2 linked regions of the Nothobranchius furzeri genome follow. The protein of the gene in region 1 interacts with the protein of each later gene in a pairwise test. Links are inferred from orthologs where the notes say so. Each region holds a gene or a part of one and is shown in the gene's direction. Other genes may lie near its edges.

Region 1 (4,183 bases):
CTAATGTTACTCTGTGTGTGTGGCGACTCCTGGTCTCCATGAAAATCTTTTTTCCACACAAATTTATACGTTTTTAAAGTATTTAAATCATGACTGCTGCTATTTTCCGGCTCCCGAGTACACCGCCGTGTTGGATCTTTGTTTACCAAATGCATGCACCGCATTGGTCTAAAGCGATCACATGAGAGCCGCTTCACTACTTCCTCATTATGCTCAAAACAAACTCGTCCCGAATTAAAACGACGATTGTAATCAAATTGCAGGACTTTCAGAGGAGAAATGTAGCTTTTGAAACCAGGACGAATGTACTACTATTATGAAGCAAAGAACCACAAGAGCTCGGACGAGGGGTTCACCTCTTGGTCTGTATGTGCAACACGTGGCTCCACCCATCAGATGTTGGGTCTGCGTGTTATTGTGAAGCAGCTGATCATCTGACGCTGTGGGCTAAAGGTTGCTAACATGTGTGCATGCTTCTAGATGGGAGCGGTGATCAAACAGGTCCATGCTGTTCTTCATGCACTCATGCCGAATGTGTCTACCAAATGGTCATGTGATTGGTACAGCCCAGGTGACTAGTGACAGCCACGCTAAATGTCTGGAGACACCCGTATTCATCACTCCGTAACTTCTGTAACAATCAGCCTAGTCGACCACCTGACCCACAGTCTTAACCTTTCACTAGCATTGCTGACGTATGGATGCGATTCCTGTTTCTCTGGATTAGTCAGCCAAACCTCACGAGCGCTCCTGCTGTCCTCTGATAGCTCAGCTGTGGTCCTGGAGAGAAAGTGGCACTACTTCATCTTTTAGGAACTCTGCTGCACATCTGGGACTCGTCCTCCATCACCGAACATCCAAATGTCTCATCTTTGACCCCGTTCCCCAGGTCCCAGCCATGTCCTCGTCCCCTCTCCCAGTGCTCTCCCGACCAGTACATTCATGGCAGATAAAGAAATGGGATGTCAGCATCTGTCATGAATTCTTTAACCACCCTCTTCTTTCCTCGTCCACTCTGACTCTGGTTTTGTCCGCCCACTCCCAGGATCTGGATCAGTGATTTGTCTGTATTTAGAGCAGCTGTGAGCGCTCATGCATGTATCTGTTTGTGTTAACCAGACTGTTACGTGCGCCAGCCCGTGGGCTGTTCTCTGTGTTTGGGTGCATCTCTGAATGAGTGTTTGTGAATGTATCAGGACTCCTATTTCCAAGTTAATCCCCTAGGAAGAGGTGTGGTTCTCTCTCTCTCTCTCTCTCTCTCTCTCTCTCTCTCTCTCTCTCTCTCTCTCTCTCTCTCTCTCTCTCTCTCTCTCTCTTTCTCTCTCTCTCTCTCTCTCACTCACTCTCTCTCCAGCTCTTCACTCCCTCCCAGTACCATCACATGCTCACTCTCCCCTCTCCATCCTGTCTCTGTGCTGTTATTGTCGTGGCTGTTACTCTGAGGCAGAGCTCACCGTTTTTCTGTCATCTCTGCATCGTCTCTCATCTGCGGCGGTTCCATGAGCTCTTGGAACGAGATGGGGGAGGCCATCGAACTCAGGTGAGCCTGGCTGAGAGTGGGGAGGGGAGGCATATGCCTGTTGTAGAAGAATCACAGACATGTGTTTGTGTTTGCACGGATGTGCACCTGTTTCTAAGTGGGTCAGTTGTTGCCGTAGCGATCAGCTCTTTGGACTACTTTCCTGAGCCTCGTTTTTTCTTCTGCCTGTAACAATGACCCTAATCCAGTCCGGGGTGGGGTGGGGGTGTGTGTCCAATTTCTGTCAAGGCTAACAAGACATCTGAGACTTTTGTAGTAATGATAGTAGTGTTTTTTCCCCTTTCCTTTTGGTTTGTTGCTATTTTTATTGAGATGTACGCCTTGGTGACGTTTTCACTCTCTGCCAAATTGATAATAGATTTAGCCTGTATCGACAGGGCTCATAACAGTTAATAGGCTTAGCAGATGCACCAGACCCCATGTCCATATGGGGCAGATTAATGCTGCTAAACTGATTATTTCCCCTTTTTTGTTCAGCGCTGGATACCAGCTGTGTGTGTGTGTGTGTGTGTGTGTCTGCGTGCGTGTGTGTGTGTGTGTGTGTGTGTGTGTGTGTGTGTGTGTGTGTATGCGCTTGTTACAAGGTGTCAGTCAAATTTTTTGGCACCCATGTGACAGGCTCTGCTGCAGAGATGTTGGCCTGGTTTCAACATACTTGATATATTTGAATCTATAAAGAATTGTTGGTTTTAAGATTCTTAGCTTCAAACACAAACCGTTAAAACACCCCAGAACATAATTAGTTAGTTTAAACGAGTTGACTCCTTTTAATTATTTAAATCATCATATTGCTCGAAGTACAGGGCGAGGAGGAGGATTAGCAACCATTTTTCATTCAGACTTATTAATCAGTCCCTTACCAATTAATAGCTACAGTTCTTTTGAACATCTTATTCTTAGTTTTCTTAATCCAGATTGCAAAACTGTAAAACCACTCTTGTTTGTAGTTTTATATCGTCCACCAGGCCCTTACTCTGAGTTTTTGGATCAAATCTCTGATTTTTTTTATCTGATTTGGTGCTAAATACTGATAAGGCCATTATAGTGGGGGATTTTAATATTCATGTGGACATTGAAAATGATAGCCTCATTGTAGCCTTTAGTAATATCTTAGACTCAATTGGTTTTACCCAAAGAATACATAGCTCCACCCACTCCTGCCATCATACATTAGACCTTGTGCTGACTTATGGCATAGAGTGTGAGGAAATAACGATCTTTCCACATAATCCAGTCCTCTCGGACCACTTTCTGATAACCTTTGAGGTTTTATAACTGAGTTCTCGAGACATGAAAGTAAATTTCACTATAGGCGGTCTCTATCTGACAACGCAGTTGCATCTTTTAAATCAACTGTTCCATCTTTACTGTCCTCAGCATCTCAGAGGAACGTAGCAGAGGGCAATATTTTCATTTCTAGCCCCTCACAAATTGATGCCTTAGTTCATCATTTTAATTCCTCTTTACGTGTGGCATTAGATGATGTTGCCCCTTTAAAAAAAAGAAGGTAATTAGGGACAGGAAGTTGGCTCTCTGGTTTATTTCTCATTTACAAGCTTTAAAACAAAACTCTAGAAAATTGGAGAGAACATGGCGCTCTACGCACCATGAGGAGGCCTACCTATCCTGGAAAAATAGTCTTGTGCTTTATAAAAATAAGCTTTGACAAACTAGAACTGCTTATTTCTCAGCGTTAATTGAGGAGAATAAGCATAATCCTAAATTTCTTTTCAGTACAGTTGCTAAACTTACACAGAATCATAGCTCTGAACCATCTATTCCCTTAGCCCTCAGCAGCAATGACTTCATGGGAATTTTTACAAGTAAAGTTAATTCTATTAGAAACAAAATCTTTAGCATCCTCCCTAATGCGATTTCTTCTTCCTCAGTAAGTGAGGCAGCATCAGAGGTAACTGTAGAACCTCATCTGTGCTTGAACCGTTTTGATCCAATTGAGCTTTCAGAGTTATCAAAAATATTAGCTTCATCTAAACTTTCCACTTGCATTTTGGATCCAATCCCAACCAAATTATTTAAAGATGCATTTCTTTTGTTTACTGCCCCCATTCTAGATATAATCAATCTATCCTTAGTAAATGGATACGTACCACAGGATTTTAAGGTTGCTGTAATCAAACCTTTACTTAAGAAGTCTTCTCTGGTTCCAGATGACCCAATATCTAACCTTCCATTTTTATCCAAAGTCCTGGAGAAAATAGTGGCCATCCAAGTATGTGAGCACTTAAACACTTGGTTCTTGCTCATCCCTCGTGAGGGTGAGCGTCCTGAGAAAAAGGGAAGATGGCGCCGTCCACGGCCTGCCGTCTGCTCTCCCGATTGTTGTTTTTGCTTTTTATTTTCCTGTGTTGCTCTTTGGTGGATAGTAGCTCAAATTTTCGAGATGATCGGCTCCTTCTTCTTGAACTTCAGCATAAACTTGGATTTGCCTATCACCGCTGTTCGGATCTAAGACGGTCCTTCGCCCCGCTGTTTACGACGGTCCCAGCTCTGCTGCTTCGCTCTCCCCGCCCGGCGTGGCTACCAAGGAAACGCCGCAGACATGGTAAATGTGGGGGTTCCAAAGTGCGGCTCAGAGCCTCCTCCGGCCGTTCGTGCATGGGATGTAAACCTCACCTGTCACCA
Region 2 (3,927 bases), on another chromosome or scaffold:
TTTAAACGTAAAAGTGATAAAATCCGTGGAAAAAGAACAGGACCAAGTATGGAGATTTGTGGGACACCCCTGGAGAGAAATGCATTGGTGAAAACAAGTTATTGGTGGTGACATGAACACTTATGTTTGAAAGGTATGACTTGCTGCTCTAACCATGAGATGAGGACATCTCTGAGTCACCAGAGTTAAAAAAAAAAAAAAACAGATGTGATATATGCTCACCTTTTTGTCAGCATGTCTGAGAGCCAGGGCTAACTCTGTGGTGATGGTGCTCTTCCCCACGCCTCCCTTCCCTGATAACACCAGAACAACATGACGAACCTGGGACAAGTTCCCGTCTGACGTGAGGCAAAGAAAACCAAGACGTCACAATGACAAGAAACAATGAACTGAGACGAAATAATAACAACAATAAACTCTTTCATTTCACTTTGATAATTAAGAGCAAGTTAATCTTAAGGAGCTCTAGTTAGCTGAAGCTAATAAGATACTTCGACTTTTTTAGGCATAAAATTAAACAGATAATGTAAGAATTGACAAATTTCAGAAGAAATCCGGACTTATTTTGTTTCTATTTGATAAACATCCTCCACCTACCATTATTCTGTTCCATATTTTAGATTTAGGGCTAACACGAGTTCGGTAACAGAACACTTCCTGTACGTAGTCACGCACCAATCACACAGCTCATGCTGCATCTTGGCCCCGCCTTTAAAAAAATGCAACCAATAAGAAACTAGTTTTGAAAATGATAGATTCAGGTGCGTCTCATACTGTAAAATATTTAAGATTCGATGGTTGGAAGAAGAGTAATACGCTTCCGTAGATTACACACCAACTGATACTTTTTCTTAGTTTTCAGCACGATTTTATTTGAAATTCTTTTGCAGCTGATTCATCAAAGGATAACACAAATTATACGTTTAGAAATTATTTTATATCACGTTTTGTTGTGTATAAAGTGTTGTTTTGTTGTTAAAATATGTTCAGGTCAGCACATCTCACATGATGCGTCATTGAGCAGCAGACGTAAGCAATAATAAGATGTACACAAACTCCTCCCCCACAAAGGTTTCATCCAATGGGAACACAAAGGTTGTGTTTACGTCTATCCTGTGTGGAAGTGGGGCAGGGTGCTCACTGCAGCTGTCACACAGACGCACAGAAAGGCGAATGAGCTACTGCTAGACTGCATAAGAAGACCAGTTTAAGGTAAGAGCATAGACTCACAAATGTTACCATGTGCTTTAAAGTGTTTTAGGATGAAGCAGAACTTTTGCAGAACTCGCTGCAGCTGTGAAGTTGTGACTAGAAGGTACGATTCTGCAGCGGGACAGTTAAAAGTGACTACAACATCTTAAATGTTTGTGTCTTAGTTGTTATAATAAAGCTGCCTTTGAGTTTATTAAATTTATTTCCTATATCCTTGAGCACACTGACTCACCAGTGTTCTGTCCATACTCAAACCTCCAGCTGATGCATTCAGAAGATATGGGGTAAGGCTCAATTAAAATGAGACTTGCTCTAGACTGACTAATCTGAATTAATGGGCAGCCATCCACTGCACCTGTTTGTGAAGCAGCAACCAGCTGCTGTGTTCAGGACTGGAATTAACAGAAATATTTCCATCAGGTCGAGGGACAGAATGGGGTCAGTGTATGCGCCGATATGACATTTTAGGGCCGATACCAATATCCGATATTAATATCCTTGTTATGGCCGATAACCGATATACTGACACCAACGCTTCTAAAATCAGCAATTTTGTATAAAATGAAAATTATTAAAGCTGAATTTACATTATTATGTACACACACCACACACATTTACACTTCTGAGATGATTACAATCACTGTTCACACGACTAAACAATTACACGTCACCCCATCACCCTCTGAAACAGGCAAACAAATGGAGACAAGATGGAAAAACTATCGGTTGTTAATATCGGCCCGGTTTTATTTATCGAACCAATACCGATTTGTTGATGTCGATATATTGTCCATCCCTAGTTCAGCGTTTTAAAATGAATCTATTACATCTGTTAAATCTATGCAACATAGAGGTTGGTTATCAGATAAACAGAACTCTGCATTTAGTAAATTAGCTAAGATTTTTAAAAATTGATATTAGACTCAGACGTCTAAAAATGATGCCATTCCTGTTTTTTCTTTTCACTAAATAACCCAGCTGTTACACCTCTAGTGTAAAATGTGGCAGTTTGTTGAATAAGATTGGTCTTTTCTGTGATTTCTGACTTATATGTTGGGTCAAGTGACTTCCAGTAGAAAGCACTGGATTTAAAGGTTTTAGCGTGTGTGGAAGGACTTCCTGTTGCTAGCTGTGCTATATGGGAGCAGATGGCAGGAGATCCAGGACACACAGATCGTTCATGTTGACTGGCATGTCATGCAGCTTCAGCATGACTCTTTCCAGGCACCAAAACTAACAGATTTTCAAACCGACCCATTTTGAGCTGCCTGACAGGATTTTGAAATATAAAGAAAAATGTGGGCGGACACAACTGAAAAGTACAAAAAGATTTTAAAAGCCAAAGCTACCTAAAAACATTCTAATTTGATTTATTTCACAGTTTTCTAGGATCTTTCAGTGGTTCCCAAAGTTGGGGTCAGGACCCTACTGTGGGTCACCAAGAGCTATACAGGCAGTCTCGAGGTGATTTCGAGAAGTCAAAATAAAACTGAAAAACGATTACTGAAGCTATATTTCTAGCATAATTGTTACAAAAACTCCACTAACGTCTCATAAATGGATGTAAGTGAACATGAGCTGAAGCAGTTTTTATTATGCCCTGAATTATTTGACTTTTTAAGCATTTTTGTGTCGTGAAATCAAAAATATCTGGGCTCACAACTGCTATTTTCTGGGTCTGAAGTGGAAATGTTTGGGAACCACTGATCTAGATCACCGCTGACCTTAAGAAGTGCACAGCCTCCAGAATGTTTGACAGCTGGTCACCAAGTCTTGTGCCGGCTGTCCGTAGAGCTGCCATGCTGAGAAGAGGCAGAAACAGCAGAGCTCGACACGTGGCCTGGAGTGACCTGAGACAGGAGACAGATGTCCAATCCACTGACGGCGAAGAGTGTCAGAGCCAGACAGAGACACAGGTGAGACTAGAGGTGCAGAAAATCACAAATATCACTTAGATGAGCAAGAAATTGGTTCCTCTGGATGATAAGAAGTGATTAAATCTAGTGTTTTGTCGCTAGAACAGGTGAAATCATAGATGTGCTCCACAAGTAAACAGAGGAAATCACACACACACACACACAAGTAGAAACCTTTTGGAGAAAACACAAATTAATCAGAGGTTAGCACATGACGCACACGTTTAGGAATTTAAATGATGGTTTTCTCATCTCAGCCTCTCTACCGGGTACAATCTCTGGCAGAAGCTGTCCACAAAAGCCTCCCCGCTGTTGGTTGGATTACAAAAATGTTCAAAACAAACCTCACATTCTAGAACCAGTCCCTCTCCTCGCTACTAAGGATCAAGCACGGCTACATCTGAGGACTTAAAATGTGCTTTTTGTGTGAAACAGTTTAGTGACTTGGACTTGGAAGTGGAGGTGGAGGTGGACAAATGTCACACCACACCCAAGCTGGAGGCTCTACCGTGCACAGCTCCGGTGACGGGGGAGTCGTTCTGCCACTGTGTGCCGCAGGACGAGGTCGGGCGAGGCTACAGGGTCGACAGTGACTGCTCCTGTGGGGAGGAGGATCAGGGTGAGGACAGCTTTGTGAAAGAACAGACATTCACAGTCTGACCATACTGTGGAAGCTTGTGATGCTTTGTGGACGTCTGCTCTACATAACAGTCATGTTTCTTTCTGCACAAAAAACGGGTTTGTCTTTTAATGTTAAATATATAGTTTTCATATGTATTAGAAAAACTCCACCAAGTCT

Evidence for each region. The genes of interacting proteins can lie anywhere in the genome.
Region 2: the proteins of numbl (region 1) and spsb3b interact in binary tests that used the Homo sapiens proteins (3 or more experiments, as listed by UniProt). The two-hybrid records come from large-scale screens. The link is inferred for Nothobranchius furzeri from reciprocal best matches to the Homo sapiens genes NUMBL and SPSB3.

The regions. Positions count from the first base shown.
Region 1 is NC_091753.1:64,892,621-64,896,803, reverse strand, and holds the start of numbl (numb-like protein), read left to right. Parts: upstream 1-1,383; 5' UTR 1,384-1,499; coding exon 1,500-1,540; intron 1,541-4,183. UniProt on the Homo sapiens protein: Plays a role in the process of neurogenesis. Required throughout embryonic neurogenesis to maintain neural progenitor cells, also called radial glial cells (RGCs), by allowing their daughter cells to choose progenitor over neuronal cell fate.
Region 2 is NC_091756.1:32,878,185-32,882,111, reverse strand, and holds the start of spsb3b (SPRY domain-containing SOCS box protein 3), read left to right. Parts: upstream 1-1,127; 5' UTR 1,128-1,212; intron 1,213-2,896; 5' UTR 2,897-2,960; coding exon 2,961-3,128; intron 3,129-3,563; coding exon 3,564-3,747; intron 3,748-3,927. Other genes in the region: cytosolic Fe-S cluster assembly factor nubp2, read right to left, coding at 223-338, 598-613.